Mytilus edulis: one gene and its partners. The protein of the gene in region 1 purifies or fractionates together with the protein of each later gene. This does not show direct contact. Links are inferred from orthologs where the notes say so. Each region holds a gene or a part of one and is shown in the gene's direction. Other genes may lie near its edges.

Region 1 (7,740 bases):
TTGAGAACACTTATCAATAACCGATTAAAGATTCCATGTTCACAGGCTTGTCATATAAAAAAAAAGTATGAATAGTGCTTGGAAAGAAGGAAAAACAATTTATTTGTAGGAAAATCATTGATTTAAATAACTGTCCAGCTCAAGTTTGAAAAAAAGAAGAGAAACCGATAGAAATTCATTTTTATGCCCCATTTATGGGCATTATGTTTTCTGATCTGTGCTTCCGTCTGTTCGTTCGTCCGTCCGTCTGTCCGTCCGTTCGTCCCACTTCAGGTTAAAGTTTTTGGTCGAGGTAGTTTTTGATGAAGTTGAAGTCCAATCAACTTGAAACTTAGTACACCTGTTCCTTATGATATGATCTTTCTAATTTTAATGCCAAATTAGAGGTTTTACCCCATTTTCACGGTCCAATGAACATAGAAAATGATAGTTCGGATGGGGCCTCCGTTTACTTAGGACACATTCTTGTTTTAACAAGAAAACGTTGACTGCTGTACCCCTATTTTTGATATTTTCACCTATCAATGTAGCACAATACAAAGATTTTTTTACGTCCAATCTCCAACCTTTAAAATGCTGTTACTTTCTAAAGACTGCATATAAATTAATAAAGGAGGTATATATATAGACAGAAAAAGGTTAATCGTTAAAAAGAAATGCAATATTTTTGTTATGCAATCAATATGTAATCAATTATTATACAATTAATGGCAAAATCTTGGTCAGTTTACTTGAATGAATTTAGCTCTATCATCTCTATAACTATTCAGGAAATTTTAACGAAATCTTAATCAAAACAACAGGAGCTACAAAAGGGTGTTTCAAATTATGGCTAAAATATTCCATTCTCTCATAAATCTCTAATTAGTGTAATCATCCTTACCACATAAAAGTAGATAATATTTGATTAGGTGTAAAATGTGATCTATACATTCTATCCAAAATCTGAGACACTCTTTTTTAGATAATGGCTCTAGGAACAACATATGATAAAATCAACCCTCCCGGGATATCCATGAAGAAGCTAATTTCAATTGAAAGTGGAAATTTCTTGTAACATTTTGTAGACACAGTTAACATTATAATTGATTACATAATTGTTGTATAATACTAACAAATGCATTAATTTGAAAGACTAATCTGTTAGCTATTCATAAATACCACTTTTATAAATTTCCAACCATTATAAAGAAAGTTACAGCATTTTAAAACTGGTGAATTGGAGGTATAAAATCTGTGTATTGTGCTACCTTAATTATGTCTGTTTGTTTTGTTCACACATCGTTGACAACATAGTGGAATGGAATGCGACTATCATACAAACGAGAGGTTTAGCTAGATATAAAATCAGGTTTAATCCACCATTTTCTACTTAAGAAAATGCCTGTACTAAGTCAGGAATATGACAGTTGTTGTCTATTCGATTGATGTGTTTGATCTTTTGATTTTGACATTTGAACATGGACTTTCCGTTTTGAATTTTTCGTGTTCAGAGTTCAGTATTTTTATTATTTTACTTATTACTTTTAAATGAATACTCGATGTAAATATGATTTGAGCTCGCTATTCGCAACTTTGAGTGATAGCCCACTTAAATTTAAAAGTCCGATCACGAGTTATAAAAATGAAGAAACGTCTAAGTTTTCGATTATAACCCTTGCCTCATATACACAAAAGATTCATTTAAAGTCTGGTATGAATATAACAGTACAAAATAGTAAGCTCTGTATCCTCAAGATTTATTTTTAAACAGGCATACATATAATAAACACAGGGCAGACATAAAAAAACAGAAAGCACAGCAAGCATAACTTAATGATCTATACTGTAATAAAAGCACAGCAAGCATAAGATTATGATCTATACTGTTATGAAAGCACGGTAAATCATAAACAAATCAAAGCATACAAAAGCAAACATAAAATGGAAATGAATTTATAAAGGTTCTTCTGCTCATGTTGACATATCTGTCAACCTTATCCAGCTGGTAATTTTCTGATATAAAGTTTTGATTATCCTATTATAGATTTCAAGATAATACGCAAAAAATACAAACAAAATTATCATAAAAGGACAATAACTCCATTGATGAGTCGACGGATGACTTCGGCTATAAAATTATGGCTTAATTATTTGTGGATCCTGTCTTGCTGATCATTTGTCTTATTCAATGTTTCTATCTATCTAATACAGTTTTCAAGATAATAGGCAAAAATTAGAAAATCATTTTTAAAGGTCAATAATTCAAATAGAGAAACGACTATCAATTGGGGTCATGTTGACTTATCTACAGATCTATTACTGCTGATAATTTTTGCTATTTAAAGTATTTATCTATTTGATATTGTTTTTAAGATATTATGCAAAAACACAAAACAAAAAATGTGTAAAGTCGTCATTATAGGACAATCCTCTAATAAGGAGTGACTTATATATTTTGGCCGTGTTGAATTATTTGTAAGTCTTGTCTTGCTGATCATTTTTGTTTTTCAAAGTGCCTGTCTATATCGATCTATTGCAATTTTCGAGATAATAGCCAAAAAAAAATAAAACAAATTCATCATCTAAAGGCGATACTTCCTACAACATGACAAGAATTCGTCTGACAGTTTTGACACAAATAAATAGAATGTAGAGCCCAACGTTCTAAACATTTATGACCTCTTCAGATTTTCTCTATTCATATCTGTTTTCAAAAAAATAAGCAAGATAAATTGCATTTTATCCCTGTTGTTCTATTTTTAGCCATGTCGGCCATCTTGATTATCTGTCGGCGACATCGGACAAATCGACCATATGATGATTGTGGCCAAGTTTGGTTTAACTTGGCCTATAGCAGTTCGATTTTTGTAAAAGTGACGGAGGACGACGGACGACGGAAGACGACGGACGACAGACGACGGACGCCAAGTAATGAGAATTTAAGCTGACAGGTGAGCTAATAATGTTGTGCTACTTTGCATCTTCTCCGATAGCCCTGAACAAGGGGCTTAACATGCAAAGTTCATTAACACTTTTAGATATAAAAAAAAATCTTTTAAATATGAGAACTGTCTATAATTTCGGTACTGACATGATTGAACAAACTTCAGTGGCGGATCCAGCCATTTTAAAAAGGGGGGTAGGGGGGTTCCCAACCCAGAGTAAAGGAGGGGTTCCAACTATATGCTCCCATTCAAATGCATTGATCGTCCAAAAAAGAGGGGTTCCAACCCCCGGACACCCCCCTCCCCCTGGATCCGCCAATGAACTTTACTAAAATTGTCCGTTTATAAATTTTGAAATTCTTAAGAAATTAAGGTTTCAAATCCCTCAGGCAAAGTTTGCTTTAGATGAATTGGCTATTTATTTTAGGTAATTTTGACATATAGCTCTTCAACGGTTTCGTTACTTGTACATCTTCGGATTTCAAATGTTTGACTTTGAGCGTTTCTGATGAAGGTAAATCCAGAAAAGCGCTTCGGACGCAAGAAATTATTAAGCGTGTTGCTTTCATTTTTTTTTTTTTTTTTCATTATCACACCTACATAAGGGACCGGTCATTATTTATCTCCAGGGGGAGGGGGCGGCAAAATGTAATTAAATTTGAAAGGATAAAATATGATTGCCCCTTTTCAAAATGTGTTAAAAAAGTTAAACCCTCCTCTCTTTACTACATATGCACCATCTCGTCAAACTCAACACTAATTGGAGTTTAAGTTGTTTACTAGTATTTGATTATGATTTTGTCATTTACAGTTTTAAAGAGTAAAAATTTGAACTTTGTTTGATATACTGAGCATTACTTTTAATTGTATTCATATAGAATGTCAGATGTCTTATTCAAAATTAGAGATGCTGAAATCAGGAACATATATATACTGTTCCCAGCTGAAATGAAGCCAGTCCTGGTCTTTCAATAATTTCTTGTATAAATTAAGTGATTCATTTCAAAACTGTTGCCTTCCACTCTGGTAGAAGACGGAGGGTCTTCGACAATGAACAAATCATTCATATATTTATTTATATTCTACATGAGGTATATTTGAGATACGGAATAAGAATAAGAAGAAAATGCTTTGAAAAAGTCTATATAGAATATTTTGTGTTCACCTAAAACAACAGTTTGTAAAATATACGAGTTCATCTTGAAACATAAAAATGGGGTCCCCTTCAAAAAAGCAAAGTCTATGTTTGCTGTGGTGAAACCAGGATTATGAAACCAATTTTGTAGTCTCTATTCCTAGTTTCTTAGTCCTATAACATCTCAGAAAAATATAAGAAAATTGACTAATTTTGCACATTTTTTGGCAATATTTATTAGTCACTTGACAATATAACTAGCTCCGTCAAAGAGTAAAGTAAAATAGTAAAGTAAAGTGACTAGTTTTACTGATAGTGACAGTTTGACATTTGTGAAAGAGTTAAACTAGACAAGTTAGCTCTAAAGGGCCCAAACAACTATTCATTAATAGTCTATGGTCATGGTATATGGCGATCAATGCATATATGGCCAAACAAATTATGACCCCCCCCCCCCCCCTTACTTGAGCAACCTGAAAAAGAATGACCCCCCTTTATCAGATCTAATTTTCTCATTACCCACTACTTTTTTGCCGCCCCACTGAAGATAAATAATTACTGGTCCCTAATATCAATTTCATGATTAAATACCACTTTGGTTTCTTCGAATAGAGTGCTCCCGTGAAGGAGTAAACATCCGCGCAACAAATCTTGTATTAACAAAACAAAACTGACATTTCTGTCCCCTATGCACAAAATGTACCCCAAAGTTTTTTTTTTTAAAGTGAGTATAGTCATATTGCATATGCATTGTAGTATTAACCAGAAGGAGGAGGTTAAACAACTAAAGTGAACTATTTGATTCTTTAGTTTCAGGTTCAAGACAAAAGCACAGGCACTTGTTTCATGTGATGGTAAAGACCCTCTTTACTTTTGGCCCTTTAAAATCTTAAGAAAACAAACAAGTGCCAGTACTTAAAAGTAACCATATCTGAAATTATATGCTTCACAAATTGATACGCCTATATTATACTATCATCTAACTTGCTATGGTTAAACTGAAAAGAAGGAGATGTTCACGAGATGATTGCCTCTGGCTCTGAGACAACTATCCACCAGAGTCCACATGAACTGTAGATCACTGTACATGTACATGTGTGCTGCCATACAACCTCCATTTTTATCAAAAGCTCTAAGCATATCATAAGACATGTACATGTAAGACAAGGAAACCAAATGCCCAATTATTGACAAGACAACAATAAAGAAAAACAGATACATCAAGTCTCATACAGTTAGCGTAAGACTCACAAATGTGACTCACATGTTTTCATACATATTTGACAGCATTTTCCTTTGATCTATTGTTTTAAGGTAAAAATTGCATAATATGGGACTGACTTGATATCTAAATGTTCCAAAATTGATCACTTTTTCAGTCTTCACGATGAACTGCTAAATCTACAGGCCCTGGGCTGCCACTCAGCGTGAAGACTGCTTTTTTTGATACATGTACACAAAATATAGTGCATTAACCATAACATTCTATAAATACTATAAATCATGAACATTTCCAGAAATTTATCCACGAGATATATGCTCAGATATTCAAGACACAAAATGATGTTTCACTTGTCAAGAAAATTACATAACGTTTGCAAGGTGCAGGAATCTAAAATCTGTTCTAAAAATATAAATTATGTCATTGTTAACATCATCTTTAAAAATTGGAGTCATCTTCCTTTGTCTAGAATAGCTGTTTTAAATCAACAACAACCAATGCAATATTTATTTTTACTTCCCACTGATAAATTAAAGCAATCTTTACGGTTCAGTGCTTTGAAGCAATTTGATTTCTCTATTTTTCATGCTTTTTTCACATTTCTTGAGCAGTGTGAGAAAAATATTTCTCCTCACTAGTGAAATATCTGTTCTCTGCAATTGATTGGTCATTACATAACTTAATTGTGACATCAAATTTTCTTGGTTTCTTCGATTTTGAATTATCCTTTTGTCACATCATGAAATAATTCAATGTTCAAGGGTATTTTGAAATAAAAGATTATCTCAGCTAACAATGATTATCCTGAACAAATGAATTTCAGGTCAACAAGATAGTTCTAAATAATAAAAGGTTTTTCATATTTTATTTTTGTTCTTCAGGATAAAGTTAATTTGATAATGTAGACAGCCTAAAAATGGTCATAGAAAATAAAGCAGAGTCTCTAGATAAAGACAATCGTTATTTGAGGTTGAAGAACAGCCAGGGGAAGAGTGTCAGTATTGTAAGAGAAGTCTATAGGAGAGAAAATATACCATGTCAGAGTAGTTTATGTCTTGGAAATTGCAATGTGGGAATAGGTGAGATTTTAAATAAATGGTAAACAAATCAAAGGTATTGATGAGGGAGATGAAAATATCTTACATATATGTAAATCTTTTCAGACAAACTGTGATTATAAAAATAAAATGAGATTGTGGTTTTGTATGTTGCTTCTTTATTGCCTGATAAGATTTATTAGTACACATGTACCACTATTGTGTCTTACAGCTAAAATGAAGGGTTTTTTTGTCTCTACTTTTCATTATTTTAATTGAATTGCATAATCTTGGATAAAGTTTTGCATGGTGAATACTGAAAATTGATTGATACTTTTGCTGTTTCATATTGTATTGTCTTAAGCATATATATATATATATAGTTGCTTTACATGTCATGCATGTAGTCATATTCTGCATAGAATTTTTTTTATATTTATGTTACACTTTAAAAAATCTCTGTAGATATTATTTTATTGGGAAATGGCAATGCAGCCTGGTATGGTCTTCAAACAGATTTAAGTACCTAAAACTTAAAAGAATTTGATACTTGATTAAAACCTATAATCATATTTAGTTTAATATTAATCATGCTATTAATGTAAACAAAACTGGGAACTCTTTGCAGATGACTCTGATTTGCTACCTTCAAACGTGACACACTATATAATCCCAGATTGTCAAGTTGCCAGAGAATACCTTGAAGTTTTTGAAGCACCAGAAATTCATGGAATAATCTTTACACAGACAGCTGAACACTGTGTAAGTTTAGAAATATTTTTTGAAAATAATTGAACTTTGACAATTCTTTAGCATTTGTTTGAAATAAATGGTAATCAATGTTTAAGCTCTTTGTTTACAAACGCTCTTTTTCTCATACTGTAATTTATTTTATACTGTAACTATGTTATTTGTGCAGTTTTTTTGTTTGACTATACAAGCATCATTGATATACTTTCATTGATCATATAAATAAAATTGAGAATGGAAATGGGGAATGTGTCAAAGAGACAACAACCCGACCAAATAAAAAACAACAGCAGAGGGTCACCAACAGGTCTTCAATGTAGCGAGAAACTCCCGCACCCGGAGGCGTCCTTCAGCTGGCCCCTAAACAAATATATACTAGTCCAGTGATAATGAACGCCATACTAATTTCCAAATTGTACAAAGACTTGTTTGTGAAATTGCATTTGTTTCAATACACATTTATGACATTCAAGGAATTCAGATTTACAGATTTTGTACCTTTTTTGTCCAAAAATATTCTTCTGATCAATCTTATACTTTGTATAAAATGGACTTCCAATATCTTTATCTGTCTTGAATTTTGATTGTGATGTTTGATTGTTGTTTCATTGACTTTTACCCAAAATCTCCTTAAAAACACCTACCTTGTCTTGGGTATTACTTTCATTA
Region 2 (7,115 bases), on another chromosome or scaffold:
CAATAATTATTGAGGCTACGGTTACATTGCGTTATTGTTACATGAAAAAAAGCAATGTACGATGGGACTAGTAATATGTACTAAATAATAAAAGTTAAGGACATTTATTACATACATTTATAACATACAATTTATTTACTGTAATTTTTTATTTACAATGACAATTTCTACAAATCCAGTAAGTTGTTTTTAAAGTCCGACACATTTTTGATGAACGAAATTACGTCCTCCACGGATACGTGTACATACAGAATTTCTTAGTATTTAAGTTACAGTTAGCAAACTTTGCTTTTGATTTTCAATTTGCGTCAAGTTATAAAGCTGTATGAAATGTATGTCTTGATATTGTTTCAGTTTCATTTAAAACGCATCCCAAGTTTTATTTTTTTTTCACCATAAACAAAATTGGTCCAAAGTATAATGACAGTAATAAGAGTAGGTGTGCAGTTAAATACCTTAAAAAAAAAAGTGAAACCATTGAACTATATTTTTCGCCTTTGACAGTCACACTCCTAATCTTGAGTAGTACCTTAACAGTGGCGGATCCAGGGGGGGGTTCCGGGGGTGCGCACCCCCCCTTTATTTTTGCCGATCAATGCATTTGTATCGGGACATATGTTTTGCACCCCTTGCACCCCCCCCCCTTTGCCCTGGGTTAGCACCCCCCTTTCGAAAATTCCTGCATCCGCCCCTGCTTAAGAACATCAAAACCATTAATACGTAGTAAAACTATTCAAGTTGTACACCATTTGTTGAATAATAATATTTTATTATTTATCAGTATTAAAGTACAAGTATTGTTTAGTACATAATTATGAAAGAATTAAGCAATACAACTATAGAAGATTTAAGTTTGATCAATCTAGCGTACATTGCTGTTTTTCATGTAACAATATTAATAACGTAATGTAACCGTAGCCTCAGTAATTATTGTTACATTTGTAATTAATCGGTTCCTCACCCAACTTTGCATTCCGGCAATTAGTCTCCAATGTAACAATATTATTTTTATTATTGTTACATTTCATGTAACCGTAGTCAGTGCCTTTTATAATTGGCACTGCCTGGCTATTGTTACATTGATATGTAGCCTCAACAATAAAAAAAAAAGTTATTGTTATATTGGGGACTGATTGCTGGAATGCAGGGCTGAATAATTACAAATGTAACAATAATATTTGTGTCTGCGGTTACATTGTGTTATTGTTGCGTTCATGCACTTCAATGTATGCTGGGACTAACTACGTTTTGAATAAAACTAAAGAACCTATACTAGTATTTAAATTGTAATACAATTTGCATCCAATTTTTTTTATTTACAAATGATAACAAATTTTCAACATGAAAAAAAATTGGTCTTATAGCATAAGCAAAAAAACTGACTACAGCGGAATTACATCACTAAAGCAGAAAGGGGAACTTGTAACAGACACAAAACAGAAATCTGATGAACTCAACAGGCAGTTTCAATCAGTTTTCTCAGAACCAAACAAAAACACTGCTATCGTGAATTTGAAAACAATCAGTACATGCAAGGATTTGTATAGTAAGAACCTTCTTACTATACAAATCCTTGGTACATGCAACAGAAAACAGCTTACCCTGCCTTGCAAAACATCAATATGTAACCATCCAAGGTATCTCCAAAATACCTTTTAATTTAAATCCATCAAAATCAAGTGGACCAGACAAACATAAGCCACGTCTCCCTCCTGGGGGAGTTAGCACGCAAAAATACAAGGAAAATGGCTTTTCATCCTGACAAGTGTAATGTTATGTCCATCAGGCGAAATAAAATAAATTCGCATACAATTCACTGTACTCATTATACATTCAATCAGACCTATAACGACATAGTCACATAAACACCACCTGTAACAAGACAAACAGTTCACTAGATTTTCTCAGAAAAAAATCATATAACTTCAATTCCACCTAAGTAAAGGAACAGCCAGCATATAAATCTCTAGTCAGACTATCACTAGAATATGCCTGTTCAGTCTGGGATCATTACTTTACTGAGGATATAAATGAAATAGAAAAAGTACAAAGAAAGGCTATTAGATTTGTCACTAACCGACACAGAAACACCTCACGCGTTAGTGACCTGATAGATCACTTAAAATGGAGAAACCTCGCACACAGAAGAACAGATGCACGCCTGGTCTTGTTTTGTAAAATCACTTAACATCTCATTGCAATCACAAAAATATACAGACTAATTCAACCGCTCAGACAGTCCCAGAATATGCCAGCTCGAATATGCATACACTCTCATACCAAATTCCATCCTGCAGAACACAAATACGCCAACAATCGTTTTTCCACATACAATCACAAACTGGAACAGCCTTTCTCTGAGTATTGTGATGAGATTTCAGTAGTAGTGGTTTTAGTAATATCAGAGGATAATTTGTTCGTCTTTAATGGTTTGAAAGAATAAAGAAAATAGAATGGTCATTAAAGATGGCATACTTCGATGTTAATTTTGATTTTCTCATAGGGTCTTTGCATCGGAAATAAACAGTTAGAAATAAGATTTTGTCTTGGATGCATGATTCTGTTTATTAGTTGTTATTGACTTTGAACTAACTGTCAGTAACTCAGTGCAAGTACTCTCAGATCGATCTGGTAATTCCTTTAGTGTCTTTTTGTTGTTAGGATGAATAAGTACCCGGTCACGTCCACCATATATGTGTTTTTGTTAGGTATATTTCTTTTGGTATCCATCTGATGAGTTGAGCCTTTTCAATGATTTTTATAGTACGCTCTTATGATATTCTGTTACACCAGTGTCACAGGTTAGGGGAGGAACAAAATCCTGCTAACATAAGTTTAACTCCACCACATGTTGTATGTATGTGTCTGTCCCAAGTCAAGTCAAGCGCCTGTAACTCAGTGGCTGTCGTTTATTGCTGTGTTACATATTTGTTTTTCGTTTAGTTTTTTTTTGTATATTAATCTATTATTTCTGTACGATTTGGCCCGGTCTCTTGTTGAGAGATGTCTCATTGGCAATCATACCACATCTTCTTTTATATACACTTTATTCCAAAGTTTGGAATAGACTATAAACGTATCACATAGTTAACTCAGACTGAAAACTTGCCGAGGGAAGCATGGTGACATATTTTCATAAAAGATAGTTGAAACTGAAAGAAAAATATTTAGACTGACTACAGGATTTAAAAAAAAAGATAAATTAGAAATATTAAAGAATGGAGAAAGACAGACCAAGGACGTATATTAGATTATTATTATTGTAAGTTATATATATACGTCCTTGGACAGACTATTAAAAAAAATTATAGCGTCTTTGTTTAAATTGCTCACATGGTAAAGTTGAGGATGAGCTTCATTTTTTATCGGAATGCCCTATCAAAAGACAATATTTTGGTTTAATATATTTCTAAAATGTATTATAATTTTAAAAACTTTAATAAGTCCTCCAAATTTTGAATGCTCATGACACAAGAAAATATATCTCAGGCTTATGGAAAAAAAGTGGGCTGATCGATATATTGGAGAGCCTGAGTGTTTTGAATAAAGGAGATCAGGTACTAAGTTGGTTAATAATTTGAGAATTAATGATTGTAATGTAATTTTATTATTTTATTGTGTACTTGTATTCATAATATAGATAGTCGTTGGCTCTCAGATTCTGACCATGCTAATATTCTAAATACACTGCATTTACATGTATACTGTGATGTTTATTTTCACTTGTAAATCAATTATGTCAAGCTGATTCTATGCCTTTTATTGAACCTGTAATTTGGGAAATAAAGATATTCTTTTTTAATCTATTCTATTCTGAAACCAGTTGTTTGCATGATACGGGTTATTAAAAGTCAGTAATTTAATATCAGAACTTGATTTTTGCAGCGCTGGCAACACATTCGTTGAACCATTTCCAGAAGTTTTACTGTATCCCGTTATGTGCTCAATAACTCCCACGCCTCATCTTGCAACCAATTTTAATCACAGCCAACAAAAAAACCACTGCCTACAAAAAGACTGATATTTGCGAAACTTCACGGTGAATGGACCGAAGTTTTTAAGGACCGAGATAACGTCCCAGTTTCGGCCACATGTCTTCATCAACTTCCGGTTCTAAAAGACGCACATCGCCACATGTGAAGGCTGAAAGGGAAAAGCATAAACAGCCATGGCAGGGGGGTCAGGACAAAGGGGTAACTTGTCTAAGAATGTCTTGCAAATGAAGGTAACACAATTGTCCTTTTTTAGTACTATACTTACATAGCAAGCATTTGTGCCGTGATACCATAGTTTTAACTTTTAAACAGGTTGGGACCCCCTCCCCCCCTCTCCTACAAAAGAAGAAAGATCGAAATACCTCTTAAAAGAGAGATTGTCCTTAGACAAGGGCCTATATTGCTGTTGTAGAAATGACTAAAGAAAAACCTATCCCTTTTTCAGTGTTCTAGGATTTTTTTGGCACCTTGACTTACCACGGGTAAGATCAATAAAAAAAGGCACTGGCTACGGTTACATGGAAATGTAACAATAATAAAAATATTATTGTTACATTGGAGACTAAATGCCGGAATGCATGGTTGGGTAAGGACCTGTTTAATTACGAATGTAACAATAATTATTGAGGCTACGGTTACATTGCGTTATTGTTACATGGGGGAAAAAAACAATGTACGATGGGACTAGTAATTTGTACTAAATAATAAAAGTTGAGGACATTTATTACATACATTTATAACATACAATTTATTTACTGTAATTTTTTATTTACAATGACAATTTCTACAAATTCAGTAAGTTGTTTTTAAAGTCCGACACATTATTGATGAACGAAATTACGTCCTCCACGGATACATACAGAATTTCTTAGTATTTAAGTTACAGTTAGCAAACTTTGCTTTTGATTATCAATTTGCGTCAAGTTATAAAGCTGTATGAAATGTATGTCTTGATATTCAGTTTCAGTTTCGTTTAAAACGCATCCCAAGTTTTATTTTTTTCACCATAAACAAAATTGGTCCAAAGTATAATGACAGTAATAAGAGTAGGTATGCAGTTAAATACTTTAAAAAAGTGAAACCATTGAACTATATTTTTCACCTTTGACAGTCACACTCCTATAATCTTGAGTAGTATCTTTAAGAACATCAAAACCATTAATACGTAGTAAAACTATTCAAGTTGTACACCATTTGTTGAATAATAATATTTTATTATTTATCAGTATTAAATTACAAGTATTGTTTTGTACATATGAAAGAATGAAGCAATAACGTAACAACTATAGAAGATTTAAGTTTAATCAATCTAGCGTACATTTCTGTTTTTCATGTAACAATAACGTAATGTAACCGTAGCCTCAGTAATTATTGTTACATTTGTAATTAATCGGTTCCTCACCCAACTTTGCATTCCGGCAATTAGTCTCCAATGTAACAATAATATTTTTATTATTGTTACATTTCCATGTAACCGTAGCCAGTGCCATAAAAAAATTACTTACCCACATCTAAAAGTTAAATCCGCCAACCAATGCGGACGGCGCAAAAAAAACGATTTCTTACTAAATTTGACAAATATGTTATAGTTATTACTATGTCATTTATTAAGAGCTATAATAAATGCAACTGTAAGTTTATTTTCCTCCGATGACAAGAAAAAAAATTGTTTATGTCCCGATTTAAGCACCAGTTATCAATCCGGATTTTCCGATTTTACCGACACCGTGACCGACTTTTAGAATGATAGGAGAAGAATGTGGTCTCTTTTGCGCTTGATTACACCTAGTAAACGAGTGCTTGAATAAAAGCGCCGATAGACATCGACAAAATCTTCGATCTTTTATCAAAGTTTTTTCTCGTGATTTAATAAAAATAAAAAGCAGATATGGGAAAATTGAAGAGGACCGGGAAATTTCAAGAGTTTTTCAGCTTCCCCGAACTTGAAAATTGACTTACCACCGGGTGACAAAGGCTAAAAAATGACTTACCCGTTGTCCTAATCCACTTACCCCGGGTAACGGGTAATGGGAATCCTAGAACACTGCTTTTTACTTAAAAAGAATTAAGTGGAAATTTTTAAAAAAATGGGAGTACCAGGTTTGTATAGAACAGAACAGAACATATTTTATTTCCAATTAAGGGCCCATAGGGGCATACAGAGCATACATGAATAAGGAAAAAGAATATTGATTTGCATAGATACATAGATACAAACATTTTTTTTACATATACATGTAGTTACAATACAATACACCTTATCGCTATTTGTCCGCCATTGCTGGATATCACACAGGTTCCCGTAAAATTTAAGAGGGTCAGGATTGGGGGGGGGGGGGGGGGGGGGGGGGGGGGGGGGTCTGTTATTCTGTAAACATTTAATTTTCACCCCTTTTTTCTCTAATCTTCATTTTTTTTGCCCGTTATTCTCTAATCTTCATTTTTTAAGGGCATTATTCTGTAATCATTTAACCCCATCCAAACCCTTATATTAAGGTATTTTATGAGTCGAGTGTTTGCAGTTCACAGTAATAATTATATTTCTCTTATTTATAGAGTTGCAGAGTTTACATTAGCCAAGTACATGTACTATCAAATTCTTACTACTGACTACTTACTGTCAATTATTTCAAATATGGTTGATTACATAGGGAATCACTGAAGCGCCCTTTTATACCTGTCAACCAAGTAATTTTAATGAAATTGACAAATTAATTCCAATTTATATTATAAGTAACAAGAATGTGTCCCCAGTACACGAATGCCCCACTCGCACTATCATTTTCTATGTCAGTGGACCGTGAAATTGGGGTAAACCCTCTAATTTGGCATTAAAATTTAAAAGATCATATCATAGGGAACATGTATACTAAGTTTAAAGTCGATTGGACTTCAACTTCATCAAAAACTACCTTGACCAAAAACTTTAACCTGAAGCGGGACAGACGAACGAACGGACGGACAGACGGACGAACGGACGCACAGACCAGAAAACATAATGCCCCTCTACTATCGTAGGTGGGGCATAAAAATGCATGACTGTATCTTAAAACTAAATAATTATATCCAAAGTTTATGATTAAAATAATTTATCTTGCAAACATTATCCAAAAGTACATG
Region 3 (7,117 bases), on another chromosome or scaffold:
TGAAACCAATTTGCTCAATTTTTATTATTTCCGACTTATGGCACGTGTGGTCGTGATTTATGGCTTTACCTGTAAATTGCTGTATAAATATACCTGCCTTGTGAGTATTGCCACCGTTTCACCCCAGGAGAATTAACCGGGCGTGGCTTCATTACAAACAACGGACGTCTATATACTTGTCAATTAATACCTATATTACTGTCATCACATGGAGAGCTTTTATCGCTAATTGTAATATACACGTCTTTTAGAATTTAATACCTGTACTTACTTAATTTAGAAATTTGTTTTTATTGCAATTAAGCCATTAGTACTTATTATTCCAAAAGGTATAAGTGTTGAAATGTGATGGCGAGAGTAGACGTCCAAAATGAAATATAACTGTTTCTGCTGGACAGACTGTCTGATTATTTGAGTAATTAATAATTAATTACCATATATGCATTTTGATACACAATTTTTTAAAAGTCAATTGGTCAGATAATGAAATAACTGCTTTCTACAGAAATGACTGCCTGATTAATGGTTAAATTAGCAATTGATTTGCCTAAAATGCATTTGAGATGCATTTTTTTTTAGATACGTCGATTGGTCTTTTGTTGGAGTTTGTCTCATTGACAATCATCATACGATACTTGTTTTTATATTTTTTAGATAAAAGTATAAAAAAAAAAGATTGTCATAATTATCACAGAAAACCGCGCTCACAAAGACAGAGCAATTGTGCAAATTTCATTGACGCTTTAAGGATCTGAGTATTTGTCCCCAAGAACAAACTGTTTGCTATTCAAATTTAAAAAAATGTTTACTTTTTTTATTTTTTTTTTTTATTTTTTAGTAAAATAAACTATTTTTACTGTTTTTGTTCTAACGCAACGGTCCCAGATTTCAACTTTCACAGAGCGGAGGAGAACTTACCTTTTGATTGGCATGAATTATTAAAAATGCTTGGGATATAAACATTATTTTTAAGTATTGTTTTTACTATTAAACCAAAAATAATGCTAAGGAAATACATGTATACTTAATACCTTGGACCATTAGATTTATGTATTAATCCCAGCTAAAATCACAGTGAAGTTTTAAAATAAAGTATTCTGTTTCACGTAAGTATTATTAGTTTTATCAAACCCACAAATAAAAACAAAAAACATAAAAATTATAAACTTTTGTATTTTAATACAGACTTTGCAGATATAAAATTTTGTAATTAATAAATTTTACGCTATTCTCATAAATGTGGTGTTTTTTTTTAAAAGAAAACGTAACAAACACTATCTGTATTATAAAATGTTATCAAAGAGGGGCGAAATATACCAGAGGCACTTTCAAACTCATAGATCGAAAATAAACTAAAAACGACATGGCCAAAATAGAAAAAGACCAACAGACAAATAAAAGGACACAAGACACAAGACACAACATAGAAAACTAATGACATCACGAACCCCACCAAAAACTAGGGGTGATCTCAGGTTCCCCAGAAGGGTAAGCAGATCCTGCTCCAAATGTGGCACCCGTAGAATTGCTTAGACATGTTATTACAAACTCTGTTAAACATCTTTTTCGGTAGGTCACATTCGTGAAAAGGGAACAGGATTGTAGTTACGCCATCAGGAACATATCCGATATCATCTGTGAAACGGATATTCAATAACGGTCAACCATGCATTTCGCGATGGCGAAGCAAAATTTACAAAGGGTGATTTCAACTTCACCATTTGGAACTTTTGGTTTAATAGCTGTCTTGTAAGCAGCCACCCTCTATCAAGGAAATCAGGATAGCAAATACAAGCCCGGAAATATCGTATCAATTGAGAGATAGATATATACATTGTACTGCGTATGCAGACTGCTGGAACGTTACTATATAGAAATGGAAAGTTCACAATTGGGAAGCTGACATCATCTCTTTTATCGCACAGTTGTGTGTTCAACCGAACTTGATGGTTTTGAAATTTCTAGATGTAAGTCAATTTATGAGGTAGACTAACTGCATCTGTTGTATTCTTTATCTCTATTCTCCAGTTCTATGGGATAGATGCGCTCTACATAATCACCAATTTCTGAATTATTCAGTGATAATTACCTCATCGAGTTATTGCAAGACGCGTACGGGATTGTTTTTCTCATTCCATCACTGTTATGATCAAACTGCTGAAAACAAGAATTGCAACGTTATAACAATGGGAAAACCATGAACCGTAAGCCGAAGGAAGACGACAGCACCATGACCAAAAGAAAAACAAACAACACAACAAAAGACAAAGAGGCAAAGAGTACTAAAGGGATATTCAAACTCTGAAGTTGAAACTAAACTTATAACGCAATGGCAAAACAGTGGCGGATCCAGAAATTTTCATAAGTGGGGGCCCACTGACTGACCTAAGAGGGGGCCCGCTCCAGTCACGCTTCAGTGATTCCCTATATAAGCAACCTATTTTTTCCCCAAAAAGGGGGGGGCGGGCCCACTGCTCCCCCCCCTAAATCCGCCTCTGCAAAAGAAAAGATAAAACGACCAAAAAGACAAACAATAGTATACAAAATACAACATAGTCATAAACAATTTAGAGCAACACTTAGGCCGCCAAAAACCGGTGTTGATCCCGGAAGTTTAAGGAGATCTTCACATGCTGTACCCGTCATGTTAATGTAATTTCAAATCGGTAATAAGTATAATTCAGTAGCTTAGTAGCTAAGAATACAAAGCAACTTAATTTTAAACAGTGTTCCCCAGGACGTCGTGGTTGTTTATTGACATATTGATATAACGTGATTCTATCAGATGTTTTTTTTCTTATAAATTGTGCTATGACTGTGCTGCTACAATTTCTAGGAACAAGATGGTATTTAAAATCCTCTGCAATTGACAAGATGCTATTGGCAGGTTTTTTCTCCCTTAGTTTGTGACGCAAAACCAAGCAGGTTGTTTGAGTCAGCATTAATGCAGAATATAAACTTTTAAAACAGGATAAAAGATATATGTTTATGGTATACTTCTGCGCAAGTGCTTGTATAAGCTAAAGGTATATATACAGGGCATTTTTTTTTTAAATTGCGGCAAGGAAACGTTTAGAATACTAGTATAACTATGCTACAAAATTCCTGAGAGAGATTGGCAAAAAAAAAATTGACTCTTAAAACCAAAAAGAATCGGGTTCTTGTATATTATTCTATTTTATAGATTAAAAACTAGCTTTCGAAAAGTATCCTATTTAATGATCTTGGATTTTAGACAGTGTAATATTATAACCAAACAGTTAGATTTAGTGCCCCCAACTTCGTATAGAAGCCGAGGCGCTACAAAAAAGGGGAAATAAATGATCCCTTAGTACCCCTGATTAGGGAAGATAGCTTATGCGCTCATTGTTCATTATCTGAGATTGAGGGTGACTATCGTATTCAATTTGTTAACTACTTCAACACTTTTGTCCATTATTGTCGATTCTTTTAACCCCATCCACACCCTCATACTCGGACGGTATATAAGAAGGGCCCAGTTGGTTAATTTGGTGATCACCTAAAAGAATGAGCCATATCGGTCAATCGTGGTTTTATTACATAAAATGCCACTTGTTATATTTTCAATATAATCAACACTGACACTGTCAGGTCATTTTTATGATACATATGTATATCCTACTTTTAAAGAATGCGCATGGTTATTGTACAAGGCGAAGAAAAATAAACCGTAAAGAATTTTGTATCTGTCCAGTTTAAAATTAACATAGATGCACAACTTCAAACTTGGATCTATGAAAAACGCGATGATTTTAGTTTTCCACGTAAACCGCGATGAATCAAAGACATATTAAAAAGTAATGTATAAATGTCACTCTGGATATTTCTACACAAGGACAGGACATTTTGTTTCAATAACCGCTATTGAGGTCTTATACAGGAAAACACGAAAACAACTTGTTTGAAACTACACGAAACGGATGGAAGATACCAAGTAATTGTAAAAATATAACGCAGTAACTGACCAAGCACACTCTTAACAAGTGTTTTGGCGTATTCCATTTGATATAAAACAAGTGCGACCATTGTGGTGACACAGTTTTTCCGCTTCATTGACTTTCATGCGTTACTTCGATTTCCGTTTTACAATTATCACGTGGTACATAATACACAACTACGGCCATATTGGTTACTGCATTCGTGTTCAAGCTAATAAGAAAGTTAGAAAATAGCAAAGGTAAACTTGCAGTGCACTGGTTTAGACGCACAAGCATCTGTGGTACACATATTTACACCAAATCGAGGCCTTTGTCACCTCTAAAATGACGTATTTTAATTGCAAATTCTCATGAACTGTGACTGTCTGCTAAAATCGCGAGGATGGTAAAAAATGTGGAAAATATGTTTTTTCTGTTATTCGTGTAGCTATTTTTAGAAACACGGATAACGAAACTTCTTGTAACGCTCTGATATGTATAAATGTTATATATTGGACTCTTCTTCTACAACTCCAGGCCATGTAAAATGGAACACCACATGTGTTTATTCATAAATTTCCCATACTGTCCATTCCATCGCCTTATAAGTAAACAGATCAAACTTGTCCCAAATGCAATACACCTTATCGCTATTTGTCCGCCATTGCTGGATATCACACAGGTTCCCGTAAAATTTTGACGTCATAAAACAAAATATCTGAAGCCATAATGGAAAAGTGATTGTTGTATGCGTCAAAAGTTCAAGCGATTGGGTCAGCCGGGATTAGAGATAAGGTGTATACACTACCATCAAAAACCTAAAAGGGTTCCTACGAGTCCGCAAACAGTTGCGATAATTTATGTGTCATTGTCAAAAAACGATTTCTTCCAGATTATTCCTGGAACTAACCCACTAGCTTCCACTGGAAGGGGGGATCCAATGATTTTGGTAATCCCTCTTTAAAAACCACTGGGTTAGCCCTAGCTGCGTAACTGAACACTTAGGTCCTTTTTTATTTTTTGACTGTCTGCGGACCTTCAAGCTATGGTTCCGCAGCTAGATTTGCCCCTGCCTTCCTTACAAGAAAAATGTAATTTAGTTATGGAGCACAAAATTGTATATTTGTTAGCAAGCATTAAACAGTTAAACTACTGAAAACAAATAAAAACTTTCACAAATTGTCAATCATAAGAAAATTGCATGACAGGAATTACAAATGAATTGATGTAACTGAAAACAACCAAAATTGTGACTCAGATAAAGTCATGTTCCAGTTCTTCAGTGGCACAAATTTAACATTAAGAATGAAAAATGGATCTTCAGTATTAAAAATACAATAACTTTTTTAGATCAATTTTAATATTAACTGATGAATTTTGTTTTTTTTTTGCTTCCAACAGACATTCTAAAATTCAGCATGGCTAAGGAGGTTGCTCTGGCTCAAAATATTTTTGTCTTCATTTGACTTTTGAGGAGGTTGTTTTCCATTTTAAAATTGGATGTTTTTATCCTATGTTTTATCTATGAGGCACCCTATTGCACATATGCCAGGCTACATAATTGCAAGGGTATTGTCCAAAACATTTGTAGTTTAAATGTTTTTTTTCATATATATTTTGTAGGTTAAATAGAAATGGCAGATACATTGAATTTTGGTCCTGAGTGGTAAGTAAAAAATCTTACTTTATTATTTTTATATATATGTTTAACAAAAAAAGGTTTTGCACTTTACATGTCAGGAAATTGTTTTAGAAAGGAGCTGCACTGTAAGCCACAATCTGTCTGAAATTTTAAGTCTTAAATTTCTGAGACATGAATTCGAATCACATTACTGTAATTAAAACATTTTGATAAAAAAAAGACAATAAACAATTTTTTTCAGTTTGTTTTTTCATTTCTAATTTCCAGAAGAAAGATTGAATAATTAGGCTAGCTGAGTAGTTGTACATGTAATATCTGCAAGAGATAGCTCTAAACATAGAACCATATTTGAGAATGCATATACATCATTTAGACAGTAACCATGGTAATGGTAACCAAGTGACCCAAAAAGATGAAATAACAATTTTAAGTTCAGCTAGTAAACTTACATTTTTCAGAAATTTTAATATAGACAGGAACAAGAACATCATGGTTGAAGCAATACAATTACAATAATTTTCATATATTCATATATTTTTTTTACCAAAACCATTTTTTTCCCTTGGGTTTGAAATGGAAAAAGGTACCAGGAAGAACTAAAACGTTACTTTAAAAGGGGGGGGGGCAGTTTTTGCATTTTGCAAAATGTCCACTATTTGTATATCTTGTAAAAATGCATTTTGATGAAAATACATTTAATGTACAAGTTGTTAACCTTTCCCTAATCCAGGCTCAGAGCCCTATCAGATGGAAACAATCCTGGCACTCCGCCCCCTTCACCGGGAATTATTGGAAAGTACAAGCTAGCAGATTACCGTTATGGCAAAGAAGAAATGCTAGCCCTCAACAATCCAAACCACACAGAGCCCCTAGAAGAAATAAAGAAATTCACATATATATATGTCGAAAAGCCACAGGAGCCCATCACCATGCAGTCTCTATCAGAGGAAGAGCAGGTACATATTTTTTTGCTGTAGCATCATTTCAATCTTATTTATATTTGTTTCCATGTTTTGAGGAAAAAAATATCTCTATAGTGTTTACAAAGCTAATCTGTTTGTGTCAAAATTCACATCCATAATATCATGACAATAAATTATCATTTCAGAATAAATGCCAGAAATATTTTATCACACTTATACACAGTCCCTCCATCTAAGGCTTATAAAATTACTTTCCCATACGTAAAAAGTATTAATACAGACTTATTGAATCAAAAAATTTGTGTTGGACCTGTGTCTGCAAAAGTTTATCATGAAGACTGTCACTGCCATTTTCTTCAATTTGTAAATTAAACAAATTACAAAATTCATTATGCTTCTTTCTTTGATTTTTTTTTAAATTACAGGCAATAGTTTTAAGCCGTTTATTTATTGCTTTTTTTCAGCGGTTAATGTCTCAGTCTGTTAACAGTACTGCAGTACTAAGAATGTTTGGACGAGGGGGGCCTCCTGGAGTCAGGGGTGGAAGAGGCGGTATAGAGAGAGGCAGAGGACGAGGTAAAAATTTTATCAACTTAATGTTTACTTCTATATTA
Region 4 (7,598 bases), on another chromosome or scaffold:
GCCTATGACTATGTCACTATGTCTATTGTTTTAAAAGTACAATTTACACAACGTAACGTTATATTTATTCCTGTTCTTTCACTTTCTAATTGTTGACGTCAACTTCCGCCCAGCAATTGTTTTTATAGTTTTGAAGTGGGAAGCTGTTTCATGTACACGTTGCAGAATAAGAAGATTAATAGGTTAATTTGTTTCATCTATACTATTAAACGAGAAGACCTCATTTTTGGTGTCGCTTCTCCTCCTTTCACAATAAATTAATCATCATGCCTCTGTGTCCTATAGGTAACATGTATAGTCGCATTTGTCATCCATTGTTATGATCATTAAGTTTGGGTTATTTGGGATAAAAAACGAAAAAGAATGCGTCCGGATATTTTCCCGTCATTGAACAAATCTTTAAGTCAGATTAGACTTCCGTTTTGTGTTTTTCTGTACTTCGAACATACAAAGACTATGAAATAAAGTATATGTATTTGCTTTCTGCTATCATTTTGAGTACTAGCATGTATCATCCTTGCTTAACGTGTTTCGGTTTGGGTTATATTGGGAGGAAAACGAAAATGAATAATATTTGCTATTTACTATCAATTAGTTTACAGTGGCGGATCCAGAACTTTTCATAAGGGAGGGGGCGCTGACTGACATAAAAGGGGGGGGCGTTACTCTCATGCTTCCCCATATAATTAACAATTTTTTTCCAACGAAAGGGGGGCAGGGCCCCCCATCCCCCCTCCCCCTGGGATCCGCCTATGGTTTACTATCAACGGCGGTCACTGCGGATATATTTCTATATACTTACATACATTTACTATAAATTACTGTATTTGTTATAATTTACTATAAATTCCAATGGTTATCTTGTGGGGGGGGGACTCTTTACTATTCATGGCGTTCACTGATGTATATAAGTACCTTTGACTTTTGATACCTCTCCTGAAATTCTCTGTATTGAGTAATTAAAGTATATATATATGCATGTTCATAGAGTACAGAAAAACAGAAGGTATAAAAATCGGTATTTGGAAAATAGGAGGAGGGCAAAAAAATGTGCCCAGTCCCTAAGTACATTTGAATTTTGATACCTCTCCTGAAATTCTCCAGTCAGTATATTTTTTTTACAGTTTACATACGCTCTATTTCCCCGCGATTTCGCGGGTGTGTTCTAGTATTTTATAAAAGGTAAACAGCATATATTTTACACACTATTTTACTGATCTCCGCATCAGGTTCTAAATATATACTTTGCCCTATTTATAGATCGTAGTTTCCCATTTCAAATATAGCGCAATCGGCAATTCAAACACATACACGTTGGTTGTTCATTGGTTATTATTTATTCACGTATTATTGTGTGAATAAACTGTGTTGTATATTTATTATGTATTGATAATAAAGTATTGTATTGTTACATGTTGTTTGCATAAAAACGTAACTGCCGTGTAAAGTTGTGGTAATTGTTTAATGAGACAAATACTTGTTGTGAACCCCATGTAAGATTTTACCCGCTCGGACCCAATTGATTTATAAATAAGGAAGTTCACAACAAATGCATGTCGTTCTATAACCTGGTCGTTTCGTACCTGGTCGATTCGTAACTACGTTGATTTGTAACTGAGATGTTTTGTACCTGGTGTGGTTATAAAGTGTTAGTTTAAATTAATTAATTTAAGGTGGTACCTAACACTAAAGGGAGATAACTCTGTAAAATCAGCAGAACGTTTTAATGACGTTGCGTTCATATGGGAATATTAAGCTTCTCATTGATCAAAATAAGTGTTTGTCAAACTGCTATATAACCAGTGTAATTTTTCTGATTAAACGGTTGGTTCAAATTTTTTGAATTTCTTATATTTTTGTCAAAGGGTCAAAGTAAACACTTTGTCAAAATTTAAAGAAAATTAAACGAGCCAAATTAATTTTAGTTAAAGTGTTAGGTACCTCCTTAAATGAAACAGTTAAAGTTATTATTTATAAATGATCAAATTGTTCATCCAATAATAACAATATTGTAATGTTTTTAATTTAAAACTTTCTTAAATCTTTTAAATTATTGGTTAATTGGTACGCTCAGTGACAGCTTTAATGTTTTTATGACAACTAATGACAGTTAATAAAAAGTAATTATGGTACGTGTAAAGTGATTAAGTTGATTAATGACACATGACCTATGGCACACGACCTAAAAATAATTATTTTCTACTTTTTTCTCACTTTAACATGCCAATGCATAACCCTCCTCCTTTTTCACCCAGACTTGGGACCGGCGTTGACGGAGTTAAAGTTTTTATTTGATTTTTTTATAACTCTTATTTTACTCTATTCCTTTTACTTTCTCTCAGAGACATCACTATGTTGTTCTTTGATTGCATGTTATACTGGCATAAAGCCTTATTTTTCATCTGAAAAACCCTGGTATAAACATGAAACAAGTCTTAGTTGACCAGAGCAGCAGCAGCAGTTGGTCCATATACAAAAAACAAGAAACATGAAAGAAACAACTTATGATAGAAAAAAAAATATTAATATAAGAAAGTCGGCAACATAAAGATGAGTGGTGTAAGTATTGGAGACATCAAAGCACGTGGCAGAAGACTAAATACTTTGACAAAGACGGGGTACATCTAAATGATGGACAATTTAAATTCTTCTGTTCTATCGCATGTGTGCAAAACTGTAATTGTAAAGTGTAAAATTATGTGCAATCAATTATTTAATAAATAAATATAGATATATATGTACATCAATAGGTCTTTTCATTATTTTTTTAGTAACCTACGACTCATATTATTATATATTTGTAGGACTCTAAAGTGCGATGGTACTCTAAAGTACGATGGTCACGCTAAAGTGCGATGGTCTACGCTAAAGTGCATTGGTGTCAGACGCTAAAGTGCAATGGTTGTTTGTTTTTAAATGAGATCAGATGACATGCTAAAGTGCGATGGTATGCCACGCTAAAGTGCGATGGTGTAACTGGAATGGTGTTCAGGCAATGTCTTTTGTTTTTTGCGGTGTTAATATTAGTTTTTGTATATTGTTTATAAATTATGCCGTTGTTTTTCTCTTTTGAATTGTTGTACACGAGTTATTGTGTGGTTTATATAACTAGCTATTCGACTAGAGCCGATACTCCACGCCTTGGATCATAAGTTATTAAGTGCGCACATCTGCAACATTTTGTGTTTGGTGAATAATTGTTTCATTGGCATCTTCTTATTTGTTTTTTTGTTTGTTAATTGATTTTTTTCTGTATAAATCAGTCCGTTATTTTTCTCATATCAATTATTTTGCAATGGTCGTTCTGAAAACCTTTAGTCATAAATCTACTATTTATCTGCTGGGTTAGCCATACGATTCCAGTTTAGATCTAGACTTGTGTCATCGGCAATCATATGATGATACTTCATAACTGCTTGGTATGTCACTATCTTGTTGATGAATATCCATCTCTTTCACAGACATGACAATACATATTGTACAAAAATATTCAGGTTATAGAATAACTCAATTAGAAATTTAAAAAGTAGCTTTTATTCCAAGCAAGTTCGATTATAAACATAGAAGGAGTTTCTAAATTAAATTTGAACGAATTGAAATACTTTGACACTTGGTGTATTTTGACTTTTTCTCTCTTTTACGGTAAGCACCTTCCCCTTACTGTCATCAGTTTTCTATGTTGATGGGAAAACACAGCGAGTTGAAAGGTTTTGTACGGTGGGTGATTTTGTTGGAAAAAAATCCTCTGCATACAGTCTTCTATATCACCTACTAAAAGTGTTTTGTTTCATTTATATCTCTTTTTTTTTGTCTTGTAAAAAACCTTCATAGGGAGCCACAAATATTCTTGTTTACCGGCATGTCAATTTTTGTATGTTCAAATTGGCTTCAAGCGTCATAATGCAAACATTCACACTTTCGCGAACAAACACGCATTCATGGAAAAATGCACTTTATCGTGTCATGGCATCGCACTTTAGCGTACACCATCGTACTTTAGCGTGACCATCGCACTTAAGCGTCCCCATCGCACTTTAGAGTCCTACATATTGATATAACAGTTTTCTTAGGTTACAAAACATCACAGGTACTAAACAACCTAGTAAGTTAGGAATCGACTAGTTACGAAACCGTCAAAGAAAAAAAATATAATAGCCTTTCAAGACGTCATAATTATTAGGACTACAAAACGACCTGCATCCTTCACAACATCTGATTAGTAAATAAAATAATTAAATGTCTACAGTATGTGGTAAAATCAAGGATTTATATAATAAAGATCAGCAATATCCTTGTTAAAATTGGTAACCCTTTCACTTTTTCCCCTCCACTTTTATTGTTTTAATATAATTAGTGCAGACAGAAAAGACAATAACAGTCATGGCAGTTTTCCAGGTTTCACAAGTTGGGTAGGAAAAAAAACTAAAGTTGTCATTTTTATATGGTCTAGACCATGCATTTCATTTGGTGTTTCAAATATGTGAAATGACAGTAATACTATTAGTGAAATTACTTAGATATCAACTCAACATCATCAATTTGTTGTAAAAGTTTTTGTTTGGTGCTGATGGAGGAAGCCATGCTGAATTATTCGACCAATAAATTATGCTGATAGAGTAGGAAACATTTATGAACCAATCGAATACACTTTCACATACAAGAAAAGGAAACCGGAAGTGAATGTCAATAAAATCAAAACAAACTCATCATGAACAACAAATTTGATGCGTACGTAAAACATGCATACATTCATAATTGACCAATTATATTTAAAGATCTTTAAGTAAATCGCATGACACCTAGCCAATCCATTGACACATTTTTCCGTAGGGTCAATTTTTGTTCGGCAAAAGGCATAATTTTGACGTCATCAATTTGCCCAAACACGTGCAACTTATGAATAGTCACCAAGTCCAAGATGAACAGGTTACATTTATTAGCGAAACTAATGAAAACTGCAATTATTATTTTTCTTTAAGGTATCATAAAATCCGACCATGGTACTTTTGTTTCTTCGTGTGTATAATTTAAAAAAAAAAAGTCAACTTTGAATCAAAAATATGTGTCAACAGCTGTTTAGACCAGACCTAGACTTTACAGTATCCTGATAAGCTAGCACTGTACATTTACATTACTGTTACAATGAATGAAATTGTAGGACAGCCTTTCAAGCTGAGATAAATCCAGTGCTTTGTCAGACATGTACAATGTACAACAAGCCCAAGTTTGTCGAAGTAAGGCGTCAAATAAAAATAATATAATAGCCTTTCAAGACGTCATAATTATTTGGACTAAAGTTTTGCATGATACATTGTGTCATTAATTATGCCTGTGTCACCATAAAGTGCATTTCAGAATTAATGTTGTGTGTTTCATGTCGCGATGAATATTTTAGAAAACATTTTAAAAATTTTGAGATGTCATATCTGTCACTATGACATTGTATGACAACACATCGTTTGTATTCAATTTCAGATGAATTATACATATATAATATGCTATAAGTATAATTATTCAAGTAGTACAAGTTTGAAATAATTCTTTTGTTTATAGCTTGAAAACTTTCTTTGTCATACATGTATATACAAATGAAGCATACATAGAGTGGGGTGCTCGTTTTCGCCGGGGACACAATTTCGCCGTTTAATGATTTTGAGGTGTAAAAACTTCAAAGGATGGCTGAAATGGAAGAAATGTACCCGTAAATTATATTTTTATAACAAATATAATATTTTTTTAAACTGAGACAAAATTGCGGCTCCTACCGAAAATGACCGAAAAACGGACAACGATTTTCGGACAATTTATATTTCCTGAATAAAACACGATTTCAAAGAAGTATTTCTAAGTAAATATTTGACTGAATGCCCTAATTTTGAATTCTTTATACCTTTGAAATGTCTGCTGTTCATCTATAATGCAATTGATTTGATAAAAATTGTTAAAAGCTGCGGTTATTTGGTTTTAAATAGATGTGTAAAAACGGCGAATATGTGTCCCCCATTGACAAAACATCCGGAAATTTCAAACACCCTTTAATCTAACTTTTCAGATGATTTTTTAAAAACAAACCGGTTTTCAACATGTTCAAGCTTAAGTTTATTTTGCATTTGAAGTTATCTGCATATAGAAATATCAGTATACTTCAAAAACATTTAGACCTGAACATAAACTGTAGAAAACATGGAAAGATGTGGCGAAAATGAGCACCCCACTCTATATGTCTTTAGAACATGTAGAATGGTCTGTCGACAAAGGACATCTATAGATAACATATTTCCCTAGTGCAGCAAAAGTGTTAATGAAATAAATTTAACTTATCTAAATAATTTAGAGATGCGGAGTAGATAGCAATTAGACCGCAACCTAGCGACAAAAATAATCAACACCTAGAGATCTCTGTACAGTGATCAACCATAGCATTAATAGCCCAATGCCAAGTTTTTATTTTTTAAGCTGTGAATAAATTTATAAAAAGAAACTATCAAAGATATGCCATCAAAACAAATTGTTATAATATATACGAGACTTATAATGGTTTACTTTTTTTTAATTGTTATTTGGATGGAGAGTTGTCTCATTGGCACTCACACCACATGTACATCTTCCTATATCTACTAAGAAAAAAAACACAAATATTTTACATAGGACAATCACATTCTCAATTATGGGCTTTAACATTGATATGTGGTGAGTCAATCTTGTATTTTTTGGAATAACACCAGTTAATGGATCTTACATTTTTGTCAGTGGGTGAATACACCTTATCGCTTATCCCGGCTGACCCGGCCGCTTGAACTTTTGACGCATACAACAATCACTTTTCCATTGTGGCGTCAGATATTTTGTTTTTGTGACGTCAAAAATTTACGGGAACCTGTGTGATATCCAGTAATGGCGGACAAATAGCGATAAGGTGTATAATTACACTAACAATTTCAACTCCAACTTACTACATGTATCATTATAAAGAGGCTGAGCATGTCAAGTACAAATGTATAAAGGATGAGTGTAGATATATATATCAACAGCAGGCTTATTTATTTCTGAATGCACTTTTGTCAATTTTGTTACAGTCTTTTGTTGAGATGTATTGTAGTTATGCCATATTTGTGTTTAGAAACTGATTTTGAAATACATAGTAAAAGTATGATACATGAGTGGTGGCTTTCCATTTTGACTTAATTTGTTTATTGTAGATTAAAACAAGAGGATAGCGGTGAGGATGATCAAACAGAACAGAAAAATGAACAAGAAGAAACAGATTCTCCATTTAAAGTTCGACCTTCACCAGTAAGTCTTCAAAAGATAGTTTATGACAACGATTGGAATGTTACCATGGTTACATTTTGACAATTTGATAAAATTTATATTTTATAAAGAGAGACAAATCAGATTATGGTCTCTTCTTAAAAAAAAATGTCCAGCTAAACAACATTAGTAAATTGTTTTAAACAAACAAACAAAAACTCAATTGAACAGAAAGAAATTTTTTGACTTTTTTTTTTAAATGATTTGTGTCATAATTTTTTTTTTATCCAGTTTCAGTACATTTTATTAAGTATATGTATGCATAGTTGATGTAAGATGAATAGTTG

The links.
Region 2: the proteins of DIS3-like exonuclease 1 (region 1) and M-phase phosphoprotein 6-like purify together in Homo sapiens (affinity purification with mass spectrometry; 3 studies listed by BioGRID and IntAct, with this or other methods). This does not show direct contact. The link is inferred for Mytilus edulis from reciprocal best matches to the Homo sapiens genes DIS3L and MPHOSPH6.
Region 3: the proteins of DIS3-like exonuclease 1 (region 1) and GRB10-interacting GYF protein 2-like purify together in Homo sapiens (affinity purification with mass spectrometry; 3 studies listed by BioGRID and IntAct, with this or other methods). This does not show direct contact. The link is inferred for Mytilus edulis from reciprocal best matches to the Homo sapiens genes DIS3L and GIGYF2.
Region 4: the proteins of DIS3-like exonuclease 1 (region 1) and eukaryotic translation initiation factor 4E type 2-like purify together in Homo sapiens (affinity purification with mass spectrometry; 3 studies listed by BioGRID and IntAct, with this or other methods). This does not show direct contact. The link is inferred for Mytilus edulis from reciprocal best matches to the Homo sapiens genes DIS3L and EIF4E2.

What each region holds. Positions count from the first base shown.
Region 1 is NC_092344.1:93,297,067-93,304,806, forward strand, and holds the start of DIS3-like exonuclease 1, read left to right. Parts: upstream 1-4,734; 5' UTR 4,735-4,786; intron 4,787-6,165; 5' UTR 6,166-6,200; coding exon 6,201-6,363; intron 6,364-6,949; coding exon 6,950-7,083; intron 7,084-7,740. UniProt on the Homo sapiens protein: Catalytic component of the RNA exosome complex which has 3'->5' exoribonuclease activity and participates in a multitude of cellular RNA processing and degradation events.
Region 2 is NC_092348.1:50,101,087-50,108,201, forward strand, and holds the start of M-phase phosphoprotein 6-like, read left to right. Parts: upstream 1-4,092; 5' UTR 4,093-4,168; coding exon 4,169-4,225; intron 4,226-7,115. UniProt on the Homo sapiens protein: RNA-binding protein that associates with the RNA exosome complex. Involved in the 3'-processing of the 7S pre-RNA to the mature 5.8S rRNA and play a role in recruiting the RNA exosome complex to pre-rRNA; this function may include C1D.
Region 3 is NC_092356.1:18,049,380-18,056,496, reverse strand, and holds the start of GRB10-interacting GYF protein 2-like, read left to right. Parts: upstream 1-4,090; 5' UTR 4,091-4,198; intron 4,199-5,561; 5' UTR 5,562-5,572; coding exon 5,573-5,604; intron 5,605-6,310; coding exon 6,311-6,536; intron 6,537-6,967; coding exon 6,968-7,079; intron 7,080-7,117. UniProt on the Homo sapiens protein: Key component of the 4EHP-GYF2 complex, a multiprotein complex that acts as a repressor of translation initiation. In the 4EHP-GYF2 complex, acts as a factor that bridges EIF4E2 to ZFP36/TTP, linking translation repression with mRNA decay.
Region 4 is NC_092346.1:52,327,125-52,334,722, forward strand, and holds the start of eukaryotic translation initiation factor 4E type 2-like, read left to right. Parts: upstream 1-4,581; 5' UTR 4,582-4,708; coding exon 4,709-4,728; intron 4,729-4,796; exon of another isoform or gene 4,797-4,918; coding exon of another isoform or gene 4,919-4,926; intron 4,927-7,199; coding exon 7,200-7,293; intron 7,294-7,598. Other genes in the region: mediator of RNA polymerase II transcription subunit 4-like, read right to left, coding at 4,514-4,581. UniProt on the Homo sapiens protein: Recognizes and binds the 7-methylguanosine-containing mRNA cap during an early step in the initiation. Acts as a repressor of translation initiation.